Linked DNA regions of Oryza sativa Japonica Group. The protein of the gene in region 2 interacts with the protein of the main gene of each other region in a pairwise test. Links are inferred from orthologs where the notes say so. Each region holds a gene or a part of one and is shown on either strand. Other genes may lie near its edges. The genes, in order: protein TIFY 9, NINJA1 and protein TIFY 10a.

The links.
Region 1: the proteins of NINJA1 (region 2) and protein TIFY 9 interact in binary tests that used the Arabidopsis thaliana proteins (3 or more experiments, as listed by UniProt). The link is inferred for Oryza sativa Japonica Group from reciprocal best matches to the Arabidopsis thaliana genes NINJA and JAZ10.
Region 3: the proteins of NINJA1 (region 2) and protein TIFY 10a interact in binary tests that used the Arabidopsis thaliana proteins (3 or more experiments, as listed by UniProt). The link is inferred for Oryza sativa Japonica Group from reciprocal best matches to the Arabidopsis thaliana genes NINJA and TIFY10B.

The regions. Positions count from the first base shown.
Region 1 is NC_089038.1:19,857,547-19,863,644, reverse strand, and holds the start of protein TIFY 9, read right to left. Parts: upstream 3,412-6,098; 5' UTR 3,366-3,411; coding exon 3,245-3,365; intron 3,127-3,244; coding exon 2,936-3,126; intron 1,424-2,935; coding exon 1,336-1,423; intron 1,212-1,335; coding exon 1,157-1,211; intron 1-1,156. UniProt on the Arabidopsis thaliana protein: Repressor of jasmonate (JA) responses. Interacts with and suppresses RHD6 and RSL1 transcription factor activities to negatively regulate jasmonate-stimulated root hair development.
Region 2 is NC_089039.1:27,976,942-27,983,006, forward strand, and holds NINJA1 (protein NINJA homolog 1), read left to right. Parts: upstream 1-2,250; 5' UTR 2,251-2,377; exon of another isoform or gene 2,378-2,525; intron 2,526-3,768; 5' UTR 3,769-3,883; coding exon 3,884-4,877; intron 4,878-5,330; coding exon 5,331-5,692; 3' UTR 5,693-6,017; downstream 6,018-6,065. UniProt on the Arabidopsis thaliana protein: Acts as a transcriptional repressor. Negative regulator of jasmonate responses. Connects the JAZ proteins and the non-JAZ protein TIFY8 with the TOPLESS corepressors.
Region 3 is NC_089037.1:16,852,316-16,858,460, reverse strand, and holds protein TIFY 10a, read left to right. Parts: upstream 1-2,142; 5' UTR 2,143-2,368; coding exon 2,369-2,489; intron 2,490-2,771; coding exon 2,772-2,874; intron 2,875-3,523; coding exon 3,524-3,783; intron 3,784-3,887; coding exon 3,888-3,945; intron 3,946-4,045; coding exon 4,046-4,190; 3' UTR 4,191-4,553; downstream 4,554-6,145. Other genes in the region: uncharacterized protein, read right to left, coding at 6,119-6,145. UniProt on the Arabidopsis thaliana protein: Repressor of jasmonate responses. Jasmonoyl-isoleucine (JA-Ile) specifically promotes COI1-TIFY10B/JAZ2 interaction. Activated by MYC2, MYC3 and MYC4 transcription factors.

The DNA.
Region 1 (6,098 bases), on a different chromosome or scaffold from region 2:
TGTAGACTATTAATAAAACCCATCTATAATCTTGGACTAATTCACGAGACGAATCTATTGAGCCTAATTAATCCATGATTAGTCTATGTGATGCTACCGTAAATATTTTCTAATTATGGATTAATTAGGCTTAAAAAACTTGTCTCGCAAATTAGCTTTCATTTATGTAATTAGTTTTATAAGTAGTCTATATTTAATACTTTAAATTAGTGTCTAGATATAGAGACTAAAGTTAAGTCCTGTATCCAAACACCACCTTAGCCAACACACAACCAGAACCAAACCGATCTTTTAAAGCACAATCAAATCAAAGCCTTAATGATATGTGCGTGTGGTGTGGTCAAAGACATATCTTTGCTTTCAGTTAGTTTATTGCTTCTTTAGCTGCGATAAGTCTTAATTTGATTCGGTAGCTAGTTGGTCAATGAAGTAGTACAGCCCCCATATATCGATTTCATTGCGATATATATATCATCACCAAATCGATCGAGATATTGCATATGCAAACTTGCTATCCTCCACACACATGTCGATATGATCCATAGCCCATAGACTTTCCATGCACTAATTCGTCACGACTAAAACGTGGTTGTAAGAGGTCGATGGGCACTGCTCATCCGGGCCCACACGGCTTCTGGGGTCTCCGGTCAGCTCACCATGTGGTAGCTTTAGCTACCATGAGCTTCCACAGTATACAACTATAGGTAGATAGCTAGTCTCACACTGAAGATTCCAATTAGAGAGAGAAATAATGAAAATGTTAATACTCTTTTATTTAAGTGTAATTGAGTTCTTTTTGAAAAGGTTTGATCAAATCATTATTTCTATGTACTTATACATACTCCTTTTCTTTTCAAATTAATTACTTCACATTCATTTTGTCCTAAGTCAAATATTTCTATTTTGTTCGTTGATATCTAAAAATTTGAATAATGCAAAAACATGTGATTATATATTGTGAAAGTTTTCTCATAGTGAATACAAAACATAAATCTTATGATGTTAAATTATATAAACTTCTGGAAATTGGTGGTAAAAAATACAAATGCTTAACTTATGATAAAACTAGAATAATAATTAATTTGAAACGCAGGGAGTAGGAAAAAATGTGTATTTAGGTGACAAACAAAATATATGAAAATTGCATTGTCTATACCTCTCTTTTCTCTTGGAGAGGAATCGTTGCAGAGATTTAGTTCTTGTGAGTGGCTCTGCAAACAAGAAGAGTTGAAGAACAATACTATAAGCCACAGGAAAAAAAACAGATTAAAAAAGAACATATTTTTGTTGTTCTGCTGATTACTTTTCGCAACAATTCTACTAACATTAACAAACCTTTGGCAAAATTGCCTACAATTGCATTGCCACGAGCGAGTCCTTTTGCTTTAGTTGCCTCGGTTGCCATCCTCATTATAGCCTCTGCCTAGGGATGGAATATGGAAAGGGAAAGCATTGAGAAGATTGTATCTCTATGAAATTGTACTATCTACCACTATCAAGCTAATTTAAGGGAGATAGTATATCATTGTGCGCATCCCTTCCAGCCATCATGCATGAAAAACAAGAACTCTTTTAATTTAGACTTGGTGCAGTTCGATCCTACACCATGATTTTGATTGTAAATTAATTCTATGTTAACGCTGTATGATTTTTAATGGACAGACTTTTCTTCTCCTAGGAAAGGTCATATCATCGTAGTTTTGTCTTTGGGTAATTAATCTATATTATCCCCCTTTATTTTGTTTTGCTATTAAGTCACATCACCTTAGTTTCATTTTTTTTGAATGTTTTAAATTGTTATAAACCATATCATCTTAATTGTTTATAATTTTTTATTGATCAATCAAAGATGAAAATTATATAAAGTAAATAATCATCCAGCTATCTTACATACTACTTCCATTTTTTAATATTTTTTAATATATGACGCCATTGAATTTTTACAAATATTTGACCATTCGTTTTATTCAAAATTTTTATGTAAATATAAAAAATATTTAAATCATGTTTAAAGAATATTTGATGATATATCAAATCAGAATAAAATAAATGATAATTACATAAATTTTTTTAATAAGATGAATGATCAATGAAAAGTCAACAGCATATCACATATAATAAAAAACAAAAGGGGTATTATTTATAATATTTTTATACATAATTCTCGCAGCAGTAACGCGCCGAGTTTCGTTAGTTTTGTAATCACACGCGTTCTGTGAAGGTGAAGGTACAAGTGTTCAACAGGTGCCCCGGTTCGCTGGCCGTTCTATCTCCGACGACAGTATTAATATAATATTACTGTGTTAACAACTAACTAATCGCGGATAATCTCCTAATAATTTGTGATTAATTAACTTAGACGATAAATATATATTAAGTAAATTGCATCGCCGGTACATGAACTTGTCAGGTGAGTGCAATCTAGTGCACGAACTTGTAAAATGCTCGTTTTGGTGCATAAACTTGTCTGGTGCGTGCGGAGGAAGGAAAAAGGACACTACCTGGTTAATCTTATTAATTTAGGGGCTCATTAGGATACCATGTAAACATATATACGTGAAGATTTGCTATTAGAAATACACCTCTTTAGTAAAAAATAGAATGGATATAGTGATTGTAGAAAAAAGATTAAAAAAAGCAATGATATAAGGGTTAGAAATATATGAAATTCATCACTTCCATGATGAAGAATAAAGTAGAGACGAAATTTATAAATATTGCATATCTTATATATACTCACTACACATATGCACGTCACATCCTAATCAACATCAGCTTTATAAAACGAACATTGCCAAGCTATTTTAGTCCTCGTTCGCACGAACTAGACAAGTTCATGCATCGAAATAAGCATTTTACAAGTTTATTCACTAAGTTGCATCCAGCTAACAAGTTTATATACTACCAATATAATTTACTCATGTATATTACACACCTTATCGTGGGAGACGTCGAAGACGGCGACTGAACCGTTGTAGAAGAGCGTCATCGGAGCGGCGGCGGCGGCGGCGCCGGGCATCTCCTCCGGCACCGGCGCCGTCGACGGCGGTGGCGGAGGTCCGGCGGCGGCGATGACGCGGCGCAGCAGGTGGGGCCCTATCCTCGCTATCGCGCTCGTCTCCATCCCTGCTCTCGCAACGCAAGCAATCGACTCAGATCGATCGAGAGGGACACGGAGCTAGCCGGCGGCGGTGAGATGAGATCATCGATCGACGGCGACGTCGACAGACGTCACGTCACGTACCTCGGATGGAGGAGGAAGAGGAGGCGGAGGAGCCGCCGCTCTTGGCGTGGCGGTCGTCGGCGTCGGCGGCGGCGGCGCGGAGGCCGAGGAAGTCGAGCTCGACGGGCGCCCTCGTCGACATGGCCGGAGAACGAGAGCTAGCTAGCTAGCTTAGCTAGAACACGTATAGATTAGAAGCAGCTGCAAAATGTGGTGTTTGTTGGGTTGGGAGGTGCGCGCGGGGTATAAAAAAAAGAGGCCCCGCGCCCATTCGTTTTTTCTAACCAATGAAAACGATGGATTAACCCGCACGTTTTTAGAAAGCTTACAAACGCTAATGTATTTTTATGATTAACTTGAAAAAAATATCAATACGTTGCAACAGGTAAATACATTTTTCTTAGTGGTATAACAACTCTATTATGAACTGAGCAATAGCTTGAAACATTATAATTGCTATACACTATAATTGAAAACATGTTAATCAAAATTTTTTCTTCGTTTTGAGCCGAAAGCTCATTACTTTTTTTTCCTTTTTAGCCCTAGCACAGTCTGATGTCTCCTATCTCTTCCTGCTCGGCTTGCCTCTCTTTCGTCCAGTCCACAAATACTTAGTTATCACAGCTGGCAATGTCATTCAGTATACCGTCTTGAACCTTCGGGAGAGAATCCTTGTGTGCCCTCCCATAAAAATCCAGCTGATTCTTTTTTGATCTCCCTGGCCAAGGGATTTTGATTCACTCGATCTCCTCTTTCTGTTTCCCAAAAACAGAGCAAATCTGTAAAACTCTGGATAAAAATGGAATGGGGAAGCTCGTCGGTCGGTCATTATTGGTGACAGTTAAACGAAGATTGAATCCAACGAATTAATTAAAACCGAATTGAAAGGGAAAATCATGGGGGAAACTATGAGGGAAGGATGGGGAATCAATTTTTGCAATTAATTAAAGGAGAAAACGTAAGGGGAGGTAGATCGATGTGATGGCGCAGTTAGGGTTCAGCCCAGGCGGCGGCTGGAGATTAGATCCGGTGAATTAAAGCCAAATTGTAAGGGAAAATCATAAGGAAATTAAAATAATAAGAAATGAGTAGGGATCTATTTTTACAATCAATAAGAGGACAAAAGGTACAAGAAGATAGATCGAGGCGGCGGCAGAAAAACTGCTGCGGGAAAAACTAGAAAAAAATAAAGAGGAGAAAAATACGGACAAAAAAGGATCAGAAAATAAAAACAGCAAGAAAAGAAAAAAAAAGATAGAAAAAACAGCCAAGAAAAGAGAAAAAAAGACGGACAAAAAAGTATTACCGGAAGCTTTATAGATTTTTTAATTAGGTATAGATAGATAAAAAATATAATATATTTATTCGTTTGTTTGCCCACTCAGTTTAATTATCATAAATCATTCGGTTATTTAGCCATTTAACAACAAATATTTTAGAGAATATATGTATAAGTTGTACAACAAGTTACAATAATAAAGAAAAGAATCGAAAAGGGATACAAGGCCTATGTCTTGTGGTATTGATTTGCGACCGACTATCAACCATTATGTGTGCTAGCTAGCCGCGGGTAGCTGAGGACCCCCGTGCAGCCTAGCTCTTATGCTCTATTAGTCCTCTTACGGAAATATAAATCCCTATGGAGGGATAGGAATACATGTCCTTCTAGAGAAACTTATGTTCTTTTTAGAGAAACTAATGGAGGGACTTATATTTCTGTGAAAGGCCCTCCCACCCAAACAGCTTAAACTGTCGTGCTCACCAGTCACCACTTTGGACAAAAGCATTATTAGTGATTGAAGACTCCTATATATTATTGTGTTCTTTAATTACAAATCGACCATGCTATCAAAACAATAATGGTGTCGATGCTTGTTGATTTAATTTCTACGGCCACACCTCCAAACTATTGAAAAACTCGTCGTAACCAGGAAATAAGGTTGCCCAATAGTGTTGAGGATCAATCACTAGAACTGAAGCGACTCAGGGAAGGCTATTAGGATTTGGTCAATTGATTCGTCCTGATGGCCATGTTGGTTGATTTTATCAATTCATTATTGGTTAGTTAGGAAAAGAATTAAATTCCATCGGTTTTATTTTCCTAACAAGAAATAAAGTAGAGATAAAATCTGTTATGTGTGATCGTACAAAATAGATTTAAATTTATTTGGAAATAAACCCCCGGACCCCACTAATGTCCTTATGTCTAGGAAGAGGAGAAGAGGCAAAGGCGACTTCACCGAATCCTCTCTACCCTAAAGCCCTAATTCAATCGCCCGATCAATTTTATCACTGGAAAGGATTCGTGATGTATGTCGCAAGAAGAAAAAGAAAAGAGAAGAAGAAGAAAAATAAAAGGATTAGATCATCGGCTTAAATGGCTTCACATCAAGGTCAATGAATCAATTTATTTCCGCATAAGAAATTAAGGTGATTATATTTAGATTAAGAAATTAAGATTAGATTGAGTAAATAAACTCTAACTTGTCGCTGGACATGCTGCGATCAGATATGGTAGCTCCCTTGCGTGCATGCAATCGACAATCAAGCATCATATGCATGGGTGGACAACCGAGGGTGACATCACACATATGCAGATATAGAAGTTGATGAAATTTTGGATACTTGTGACACGCTTTTCAAACTGCTAAACTGTGTGTTTCGTGCGAAAACTTTTCATATGGAAGTTGCTTTAAAATATTAGATTAATCTATTTTTTAAGTTTGTAATAATTAAAACTCAATTAATCACACGTTATTACCACATCATTTTACGTGAAACACTTATCTTTATCTTCATCATCTTCAGTAGGTTCAAATACCACTATCTCTAGCCCTACTCCTACGCTCAAATATCCATCGAGATTACTCTTCAA
Region 2 (6,065 bases):
CTCGGGTTACACCACTACATCGTTGCATGTCAGCTCGCCGCGCATCTGCGCCACGTCCGCATCATGATCGCACGTCAGCCACACCGTCGGGATTGGCAAGAGGATCTCCAAGAGTTGGGAGATGGAGTACGTTGCGATGCCTGAGCATACTCGCGAGCACCACTGACTGCATGAGTGCCCGTGCATGCAAGCGAAGAGGACGCCAGACGCTGAATCGCGGGAGAGGTGTGTGGTGGCCGGTGACCAGCAGGGAGAAGGGTGGTGGTTGTTGGGTGGCGGTGGTAGGTAGAAGCCCGACGACGACACCCGGCGATAGGTGGGGAGAAGGCTGGCAGCGAACAAGAAGCTTGGCGGTGGCAAGCGTTGGGGAAAAGGGCGCATGCATCGAGGACGTTGCGACCGCAACGTGGAGTAGATGGAGTTGACCTCGAAGACGATGCGGCGGAGCCGCGTGTTCGCCTCTGCGGAGGAGAGGCGAAGCTCGGGGACACCTGAACACATCGGCTTTTGAGCCGCTCGATGGGGGCGAGTATGAGCTTGGGGGATAGGAGCTTGGCCATCGTGACGAGGTGGAAGCCCGGGATAGGAGCTTGGCCAGCGTGATGAGGCGGAAGCCCCAGCCCTCACGCGTGCCGATGAAGACGACATTGCAGTTGTAGTTGGGACCCGCGCCACACCCCGCACGTGCGCAAGTCCATGACGTGAGCGCTCCCGGTCATTGGGAACCATGTCAGCTGGCGGCCTCCGCCGTCGAGCTTTTCCCCACCGACCGACACCCTTCTCCCCACCCATTGGCGAATGCCCTGGAGGTTTGGGTTGAGATGGGAGTAGAGGGGAGTGAGGTGGAAGAAGATTGCTGGTTGGCTTGTGGGGTCCACGTGGGCCCTACACTGACTCAGCCACCACGTCAACAAAACTGAAGAGCAATACTAGCTTGTTGGGATTAAAAGTGATCCGTTTTGCAAGATTAGGGGTTCAGGGTCGTTTAGAACTCAACGACAAGATAAGGGACCTTAGATGAACTTTTTTGGGAGATGAAAAAACTCCAGCCTCATGGGCCTGTGCATATGACCCATACATAGGCAGGCGACACCGCGTGCACGCCCTCCGCCTCCCCAATCCGTCCCGTCTCCTCGCCCGCCGCCCTCGACTCCCGTCTCCTCGCCTGCCGCTGGCGCCGATCTCCATCCTGCTAGCAGAGGTGGCGCCGGCGTCCTCCTCCTGCTCCCGCCGCATTCGCTCACCGGTGAGCATCCTAATCCATCCCATCCGGCCTCGGCCTCGGCCTCGAATTTCGTCTCCTCACCCGCCGCTTGCGCCGATCCCCATCCTGCGAGCAGAGGTGGCGCCCGGCGTCCTCCTTCTAGCTTCCACCGCATCGTCGCTCGCCGGTGAGCATCCCTCCCTACCCACACCTCATCAGGTATTCTGCTTTATCCCTCAAAAAGTTTGGGGGTTCAACCGAAACAGGGTTAGATCTGCCTCTGCCCAGCTCCACCTACTTTCAAGTTGTTAATTTTGATTTCCGTTTTTAGCATATGTAATTTGGTTACTGAATCTCATCCAAACACCCTTATAGAACGAAAAATGTAAGCTCACATAATTTTTACTCATCCAAACTCACGTAAATTTCTTTAAGAAGAATCTAGACCACAAACTACCCATAGTCACACAAAATATCTTTTTATCAACTTATATTCTTATAAGTAATTTTTATTCCACAAAATTTCTAAAGGACATACGGTGACACTTGGCATTAATCTAATTTAACTTTTTTTTCTTTGTCAGGTTATAAATTTTCTAAGACATTTGTGCCACTTGGCATGAATCTAATTTAACATTCTTTCTTTATCAGGTTATAAATTGAAACCATTGAACGTACTCCCAACTTCCCAATTAGTTTTGCTAGTAAATATAAACAAACATTAGTTTTGTGCACACAATTCACGTGCTCCCAACTTCCCAAGTCCACATCACCCTTCACCCATTCCTCCACTTGAGCCAAAACACCACGTTATCCTAAAACCCCAACTGACAGATAAGCCCCACCCGACAGTCCATCCACGGGCCCACTCCATCCGCGCGGGCCCACTGTCCAGTGACACAGTGAACACAATCGTCATATTTGCACCGTTTGGGTAGGGTGGGGATGGGGTGTGTGCTAGCAATCCCGGTGGATCGAGTGGTAGGCGAAATTACAAAATTACCCTCGCTGTTTTGATGGCTCTGTCTCGTGGTCGTGCGTGAGTTATGCTTCTTGAGTTTGCCCTTGCCTACCCACCCGCCTCCGCCGATCCCCATTCCAACCCGCGACTGCGAGCGAGGCGAGTAGGGCGGCTTCGTCGTTCGTCCTGCTGCTTCCGCCGCATCCATCCTGGTGAGCACATCCTCTTCCGCCGCCGTCGCCTGCGGCCGATCCCCATCCATCACGCGCGAGCTCGTCCTGGTCCTGCTGCCGTCGCCTGCAGCCGATCCCCATCCATCACGCGCGAGCTCGTCCTGGTCCTGCTGCTTCCGCAGCATCCGTTACGCGCATCCTCTTTCCCATCTCTCCCTGTGTCTACCTACGAACTTATTTTTCTCGAATTTGTGCGTTAACCCTAGCTTCTGTTGTAGAAATCTGCCTTAAACCTTAATACTAGTAACAGTTTGATGGGAGCGTTAACCCTAGCTTCTGTTGTAGAAATCTGCCTTAAACCTTAATACTAGTAACAGTTTGATGGCTCCCAAAAAGGTTTCCCATGCTAGATCCGCCACTGTAGTATTACGACTATAAGTTTTTTTTGTTTTCACAGCAACTTAAAGAAATAAGCACTGCGCAACACAGTAGAATAGCCATAAAACAAGCCTTAGTGCCATGGTTTGGAGCATTTTGCTGCTGGCGTGAGAAGATGTTTCCATTCTGTTGGTTCAGCATTTTAGCTGGCGTTTAGCTAGATGTGCAACCTAAGGACGTCTGGTTTAGCAAGTTTAATGTCCAAGTTATTATTCTATAGTTAGAAATAAAGGTCTGTTGATTAAATTACAGTAGTTTAGCAAGTTTAATCACACCTTAATACTAGTAACAGTTTGATGGCTCCCAAAAAGGTTTCCCATGCTAGATCCGCCACTGTAGTATTACGACTATAAGTTTTTTTTTGTTTTCACAGCAACTTAAAGAAATAAGCACTGCGCAACACAGTAGAATAGCCATAAAACGAGCCTTAGTGCCATGGTTTGGAGCATTTTGCTGCTGGCGTGAGAAGATGTTTCCATTCTGTTGGTTCAGCATTTTAGCTGGCGTTTGGCTAGATGTGCAACCTAAGGATGTCTGGTTTAGCAAATTTAATGTCCAAGTTATTATTCTATAGTTAGAAATAAAGGTCTGTTGATTAAATTATAGTAGTTTAGCAAGTTTAATCACCAATTAGGGTTAGATTCAATCGACTGGTTTGGGGCAAAGTGTTTACTTTATTGTAGATCTTGTTGCTTAAATTACATCGGCCGGAGAGGTTCCGACTTAACATGCTGTAGCATCGATGTAGTGTATTCCAAGCCTCTCTCTCTCTCTAATTAACCCATCCACATTATCTAAAAAAAATTAACCCATCCAACTTTTTGGAGATTTCTTTAAAAAAAATTAACCCATCCAACTTTTTGGAGATTTCTTTGGTGGGTGGTCAGGCGGTAATAACAGTTTGTTTCCAAAAGTTTTGGAGATTCAGCGGATACACATGAAACATGTTTGCCATGCTTAGTCTCTTACCAAAGGCTTTTTTTTTCTTGCAGATATGACTTGTTGAGTGGAAAGAATCAATATAGTACAATCTATTTTCTTCTCAATGTGTAGAAGAAACAGTCTGTAACCATACATACTTATTAATACGACTAGTGAAATCTAGACATGGACGATGAGAATGGCCTTGAGCTTAGCTTGGGTCTCTCTTTGGGTGGGACATCAGGAAAGTCTAAGGCTAGAGATGCTCCTCTAGAACCTAAAGCAGAGCCTCAAGTGGAAGAGAGCAGTAGCAAAGGTGTTTCACAAACTCCTGAGGCTCCTTTTGTGCATTACTATCAAACAAATGCAGAGAACCAAGAACACAGTAGCAAGCAGAGACACAGCCCTGCTGCACCACCGTTTGGGAACTTTTGGGGACAGCCAGGGAGTTCTTCTGTTCCTGTGGCAGATGGATCCAATGAACAGAAGCCAGTCTCTAGTAAACGGAAATTACTTTCTGAGGAGATAAGTTTTCAGAAGAAACCTAATACAGCTGCTGAGCAACCTGATGCATTTAGTAAGAGCTCTGACGGTGGTGTAAAAAACGCTCCTATTTCAATTAGCACGGATGATGGTTCAACAGGTGAAAACGAGGATGTTGCAGAATCAGAAGCAGAAGGCTCAAACTCTTGGTTGGTTGCACAGCGTGAAGACAGTGCTAAGGGATCTGTTGTCAATAGAGGATCTGACAGAAAACGATCCAGTGATGATGCTGCAGTTGGTTTTCAAGGAAAGAGGCAGCCAAGTTTCTCAGGAAGTGAATCCAGCTCTGGAAAATTGCCACAAGGAAATCCTTTGTCATTGCAAGCATCAAATGTTGTTGCTGTGCCATATCAAGTCCCGTCTCAGGTTTCAGCTCCTCCCAGTATTACCAATGCATCAAATTTCACTCCAGTATGTACAGTGCAGTTGAGGCCACCTACAAACAATGGACTAGCTGTTACAATGGGCAGTACCTCTCAGGTAGCTTTTGGTTATCCAGCTGTCCAGCTACCAACACTTGAAACAAGCTCTTCATGGGCTTTTGGTGCTCCACCTCAGGCTATGTCCTCTTTTACTGCAAAAGACAAAGTTGAACGAGCAGGAATCAGTCAAGCTGACGATGGCAAGAAAACTCAAGGTTAGTTTACCTGTGAACAACGCCCACACTCTCAGAACAAAGAACAAAAAATGTACTGTTACCTGTTGTGGTTCATCTCTAAATAACAAATATATTTGAAGTCAACAAGAATTAAGATACTTGGTCTGGGTTTGATCACTACATTTTTAGCAAAAAAACTCTATGGTTATGTCGCAAATGTCGTTGGGTTTGGTATGATAGAAGTATACTTTGAGACATGCCACTGATCTCATTTAGTTTCAGAATATTTATGAGTAGTTGGAAGCTGCATTGCTGCTTGTATGCATACAAGAACTGCCTTTGTCTATGGTATTTTATGATCTGGTAACGTAAAATAAGTGGAGATTACTTCTTATGCGCTGCTGTTTTTATGCCTAAACAATCATATGTTTGAATTTGAAATTTTCAGTATTTACAATTTGCATACTGATTCATTTTTTCCCCCAACTTCAGAGGCTGGTGCTTCCTCTTCTGCTCTTGTGGAGGATGACAAGAAGTCTGATAGGGCATTACCTCTCATGGGTTCTGCTATAAGGCCAGGCATTGCACCAAATGTCAAATTCGGAGGATCTGGATCGTATCCTGACCTTCCCTGGGTTTCTACCACTGGTACTGGGCCAAATGGCAGAACCATATCAGGTGTAACATATAAGTTTGGCAGAAACGAGGTGAAGATAGTCTGTGCCTGCCATGGCACCCACATGACGCCGGAGGAATTTATGCGGCACGCAAGTGCAGATGCTCCGGGCCAAGAAAATAGTGCAACTTTGCCGGCATTTCCTGTCGGGAACCAAGCAGCCTCAGCCCAAAACTAATTCACCGATCTGTATGACGGTTTCAATGAGTGCTGGACTAATACCTGTTGCGCCCTTTGTGTTTATATCCTCCATTCCTTATACTATTATTATTATGTATTGGTGCTCATATGATATTTATCTTGTAAGTTTAGACACGTCATGTTTTATGCTTGATGTTGAGGATAAATTTGTTGTATGTCTTTAACTTATTATTATGCATCTTTTTAGGAGGATCAAACAAGTCGGAGCTTTAAATAACCTGAATTCCGCTGTAGCCATATGGAATCATGTGGATTTTTTGCCAATTGATGTTGTGGTGGAATAAAATGCGGCATGTCTTGAATTACATTTGTATATTTGTCATGAAAGATTAGTTCATGTGCTTACGTTT
Region 3 (6,145 bases), on a different chromosome or scaffold from region 2:
ATAAAAACATCTGAGTTGGCCTGAGTCCACATGGGACGTTGAGGATACTAATGTAAATAGCTTTGCGTCGTGTATGTCTCTATAAGACGGTGATGTATACAAATCATATGCTCTCTCTAGAGTAGCAAACAAGTACTACTTATATACCATTTCTTCCGTGTTAAAATATAGTTATATAATAATATAGATTTTGATAAAGTTTTGTCCAGATTCATAGTATTATGCAATAATATAGCCCTTTGGATCTATTTAAATTCGTAATATAAGGATATGATGTGTCTAAGGGTGTCTTTGGTTTCTAGCTATACTTTGCCGCCATTTGTCAACACATATTACCACACTTGCCTAAGTTGAGACGATCAAATTCTTGGCCACACCTTAGCAGGCCTAAGGGAATCTTGCCACACTTTTTTGAGTCAAAGACGTGTGGAGTCCAATTTGTTGGAAAAGAATCTTGACACAATTGTGCCTACAACCAAACAATTGCCAATATGGTCCAGCCCGGCTAACATTGGGCGTAACAAACTATGGCAAAGTGTTGCTGGTAACCAAACACCCCCCTCCCCCTCCCTAAATTGTACTCCCTCCATCCTAATATAAGTGCAATCTAGTATATGACATATTCTAATAATACGAATTTAGACAGCCCTTTCGTCCTAATATGAGTGCAACCTAGTACAAATATGACATATATTAGGATTACGAATCTGTGCAGACAATTGTTCAGATTCGTAGTATTAGGATATACCATATATGTACTAGGTTGCACTTATATTGGGTCGGAGAGAGTAAGTGCTAGTATTCCATTCATTTCATAATATAAGGCACAACTATTTTTTAGATGTTTCATAATATAAGGCATGCATGAATGCATGCCATTAACTAGCACATCTTTCGCACTATGATTTTTTTTTAAATCCTCCATCCTCAAAATCTTTAATCCTAGAGAGAATCTATTCTATACAATTGAGTTTGTTCGAGTTCAACGATTTACCATCGACATTGTCGATTTATATTATATACCAACGACTTTATCAATCGTTCATCAATACGCCATTGGGATATGTCTTCTTTTCAAAAGTACCCAAATTCCTCTTATGGACATATAAGATTAACAATTGATTTATCTCATTAGGAGTTTAAAAAATATAAAAAATTTTATGTGACCTCCTTGCATAACATGGAAATTTGTATAGAAGTTTCGAGTTTTTATATTTCTATTTTTTAAAAAATATAACTTATCTATTATATGCTATATAAAATACTTTTTATTGTTGTTTTAATATAAATCATCTTTCATACAATGCATAAGATATTTTTATGATATTATCTCTTGCGTAAGCAAATTCTCTATCATATACCACATAAAAATATTTTTTCTAAAATCTAAATATACCATAAAAAAATTTCAAACTTGTATACAAACTTCCATATTGTGTAAGGAGGCCACTACAAAGTTTTCATATTTTTTTAAAACTTTAGATGAGATAAATCAATTGTTAATCTTGTATGTTCGTAAGGGTATTTTGGATATATTTGAAAAGAAGGCCCAACCCAATGACATATTGTAGAAGAATTGATAAAGTTACTGGTATATTATAAAAAGAGATAATGTCGATGGCAAATCGTTGAACTCGAACAAACTTAATGGTATAGAATATATTCTCTTTTAATTCTATTGGTGCATACATTATAGTTATTTGGATGATCTAAACTATGAGATGATAATAGAGTCTTATATTCTTATATTTTAGAATGGAGACAGTATCTTGAGATGAGGAAGGAAGTACTACTCCATCCAAAAGAACGAATTCATAGCTACGAACCTGAACACATATATATATCCAGATTGGTAGGTAGGATTGGTTTTTTCTGGTACGGAAGGTTATGCATTTTAGGACGAAGGGCCCCACTCCTTTGTCGGCCACGTTGCATCCAATCAAACCTAACGTCACGGCATACCACACCGGCACACAGTAAACACAAACCAGGAAAAAGATAACGAGAGAATAGGAATCTGCGCACCTTGCCAATCTCCACAACAATCACGTGCTCAAACAAAGGCACCAACACCCAAACTAACTTTTTTTTTTCCCTCGCAACTTGCGATTACAAAAATCGAAACTTTTTCGTCTTAAAGATAATCCCCACCATTATTGTTATTGTTAGTCTCGTGCGTCCCTTATATAGAACCTGAACCGCCGGACGGAGGAGGAAGACAACTCAGAGACAGACAAGGACGAGCAACCCGCAACCGCGACCAGAGGAGAAGACTCGATCGAATCGAATCGAAGCGGGAGGATTTCGGGGGTCCGTGACTCCGTTCGGAGAAAAGGATTCAGCTTGTGGGCAGAAGAAGAAGAAGAAGATGGCTTCCGCGAAATCCGGGGAGAGGGGGAGCAGCAGCTTCGCCATGGCCTGCAGCCTGCTCAGCCGCTACGTCAGGCAGAACGGCGCAGCCGCCGGCGAGCTCGGCCTCGGCATCAGAGGTCACCTCCCTTTCTTTTTCTTTTTTTCCTTCTGCAAAGTCTGGATCTTTATCTTTACGGGTTTTGGGTGAAAAAAACCTCCCCTAGGAAGGTTTCCGTGAGATCTGGTCTAGTTCTTCGAGCTTTGGAAGCGAGAATTCCCCCATGTAGAATTTTATTCGGCTTAAACCAGTCTCAACCATTCCAATTCTGCGCATCTAGCTAGCTGTAAAATTCGCAACATTTTTTTTAAATCTGATGTTGTGAATCTGGGCTGAAAAACTATGTCATATCATTTTTCAGGTGAAGCCGATGCGAACAAGGGGAAGGAGACCATGGAGCTGTTCCCCCAGAATTCCGGGTTCGGCTCTGAAGCTGCTGCCGTGAAGGAGACCCCGGATGCGAGGTACTCAACACAATCTTTGTTCGAATTGCTTCAGCTATCAGTTCATACGGTTCCTTTAGCTGTAGTCACATGATAGGAGAAACCAATAGCAACAATCCAACCAAACAAAGTAGTGGTTGGTAGGTAGTGTGGAGGAGGAGGAGAACATCTTGCCTTGTCCTGACCAGATCTTAGTGCTGCCAGGAGCTGAGCTGGTCAGCTCTCGGGTCATGGTCTGAAATCTAATTCGTGTGTAAAATGGATATAATTTAGTTTAGAGTTCTAGGGATGGATTTCGGTGTGATGGAAAGGTTCGATATTTAATCCAATATAGAACTGGTGCTATGCAAGTCTGCAGTTCCTTCTTCTGTTTTTTGTGCGAGTCGTTTTTTGTGCGAGTCAACGATGTATGTCTCGCAACTAATAACCACGGGTTTCAGACTTAGTGGGCTCGCACGATCCGAAAGTGAAAATGTTCTGACTCGAGTGATTCATGAACAAAAAACCCAAATATTAGTTGGTACTTACTACAAGTTATTCTTCTGAACATATGCGTAGATGGCGGGTGCTTGCTGACCGATATCAGTTAGTAAATAGTTTCTGTTGTGTAAGCTTTAAAATTGGTTAAATGGTTGTGTTTGTCTAAGCTTTCTTGTATTTCCGTTGTCAGGGAGCAAGAGAAGCGCCAATTAACCATCTTCTACGGTGGGAAGGTCCTGGTGTTTGATGACTTCCCAGCTGAGAAGGCCAAGGACCTGATGCAGATGGCCAGCAAGAGTTCCTCCACAGCGCAGAACTGTGTCCTTCTTCCATCTTCCGCTACTGCAACCGTTGCCGACAACACTAAGGTGTCTGCTGTACCAGCCCCAGCAAGTGCACTTCCTGTTGCTCAGGCCAATGCCCCGAAACCTGTTCGTCCAAATGCTGCTGGTAACTACTCTAACCTCGGCTGTTATTGCTTGCTCTGAATGATGGAATATACTTGTAGCATGTGAATCCATTTTATTGTACTAACTGTTCTTCAAATCCTGCAGATCTGCCTCAGGCTAGGAAGGCGTCGCTTCACCGGTTCCTCGAGAAAAGAAAGGATCGGTAGGTTATGCTTGCTATCATGGCAGCACAAAGTATAGTCAAATTCTACAATTCACAATTCTAGATTTTGGATCTAACTTTTGCTGCTCCTTTATTTCAGCCTTCAGGCTAAAGCACCCTACCAGGGTTCCCCTTCAGATGCTTCTCCGGTCAAGAAGGAGCTGCAGGAGAGTCAGCCATGGCTTGGGTTAGGACCTCAGGTTGCCGCTCCCGACCTGAGCTTGCGGCAGGAATCGAGCCAATGAATCAATGCTCAATTCTGAGATGCCCCTCTCATCAGATGATTCAGTCATAGAGGTTATCACAACTCTTGAATTGGGTGTTTTGTGTTAGGAGATGATCCGATGACAAGGCGATGTTCTTCTGATATATATACTAGGATTGAATGTAAAGAAAGTAGCTGATGATTATGACCAGTAATCTGAATCAAATTGCTATGATAGAAAGCAGAAGATTCTGTAATCAGTACAACCCAAGAAACCTCATTTGTACCAATTCAATATCGTTTTGCTTTGGCATTGCCATGTAGAAGCAAAGCAAATGTACTGCTAATATATACACATCACAAGATTGATTGTTATTCACTTACGCCTGTTTCCCCCCCCCCCCCCCATTAACAGGATGCATCTCCTTTTGCTGTTTCCAACATGCATTCTTGTATGAATTTTGAAGCTCTATTCAGAAACTAGAATGTTATTTGGACATGCTGAGTAGTACTAGTGTACCATGATTTGCAAGCCTTTGCTTGGCCTCAGAGGTTAGAAGACAGACAGCTCAGAGAGAGAGAGAGAGAGAGAGAGAGAGAGAATTGTGGCTCTTGGCTCTTGCACGACCTGAAAACTTGATGGAGACGAGGCACGCACACACACACACTTGTGCATACTCCGTCCAACACAGGAAGAAAACGTGTTTTGACTCAGAGGCAGCATCTGCCACTTGCACAAATGAATAGAGAAAAAAAAAAGATAAAGATAAAGATAAAAGAAAAGGAGAAGAAAGTGATGTATAACGCGGCAACGGCAGGGCGTCCGGGGAACACGCAAAAATGCGCACGTCGCTCTCCGGCTACATTCAGCAGCAGCCCATGGTCGGAATTTTTTAAAAATTATTTTTTTGGGATGAAATGACTCTCCATTTTTTTTTCTCCAAGGGAAAAGAGAAAAAAAAATAAAATCATTTTGGTGACATTGAAGAAAAACTGCATGTTCTGCGCATTTTAAAACCGGGACCAAACCGGGTTCTGCCGGACAAACAGTGGACGATCCACGTACATTAGAGTAAAGCTCACGTTCGGAAATGAAGAATAGTAGTATTTTAACATGGCTCTTGCCTGAGACTACGGTTGCCTGAGACTACGGGTGTGTTTAGTTAACGCCAAAATTAAAAAGTTTGGTTGAAATTGGAACGATCTGACGGAAAAGTTAAAAGTTTGTATGTGTAGGAAAGTCTTGATGTGATGAAAAAGTTGAAAGTTTGAAGAAAAATTTTGAAACTAAAATCGGTCTACAGATGCATGGTGGCCGGCAGGAAAGCAGTTTGTCATCCAATATAATGCGAGCCCATTTGCTCGTGCCCACTTCCAGCAACTTTATTCATTTCGCGTAACGTGCATGACCACTCTGCCAATTGCCATGCCAGCCTATGATAATTCATGGGTCAATTGCATATTTGCCACTGGATTGAACAGGTATTGTGGATCTACCACTAAAAAAACTGTAATTGCAAATTTGCCATTAAAAACAGTTTGAACCCAACATAACTGCCACTGGACTCACAGCTTAGACTAACACCGTTATATGGCTGGTTTTCATGAAAATTAGGACAAGAATGCCCCTGCCCATGAAATTGTAATATTGACAGCATTTTGGCATCAATAAAACACCATTTGAGACAACAAGCAAGAGAACATAGTCAACTAGCGTCATTCTGGCATGAACACGGTAACATAATCAAACTAAATGACAATAGTTGAGGTTCACATCATATGATTCATCCTCACATCCAAAAGACAACTACATCTGACTAATTCAACCAACACAGTTAGAGGTTTACATCATATGATTCATCCTCACATCCAAAAGACAACTACATCTGATAGTAGTGTTCTACATCATATCAATTTGATAGGACAACATGGTCCAGACCATTAGAACCTTCCCAAAAGACAACCGCATCAAATGGATGCCGCAACAGAACCTTT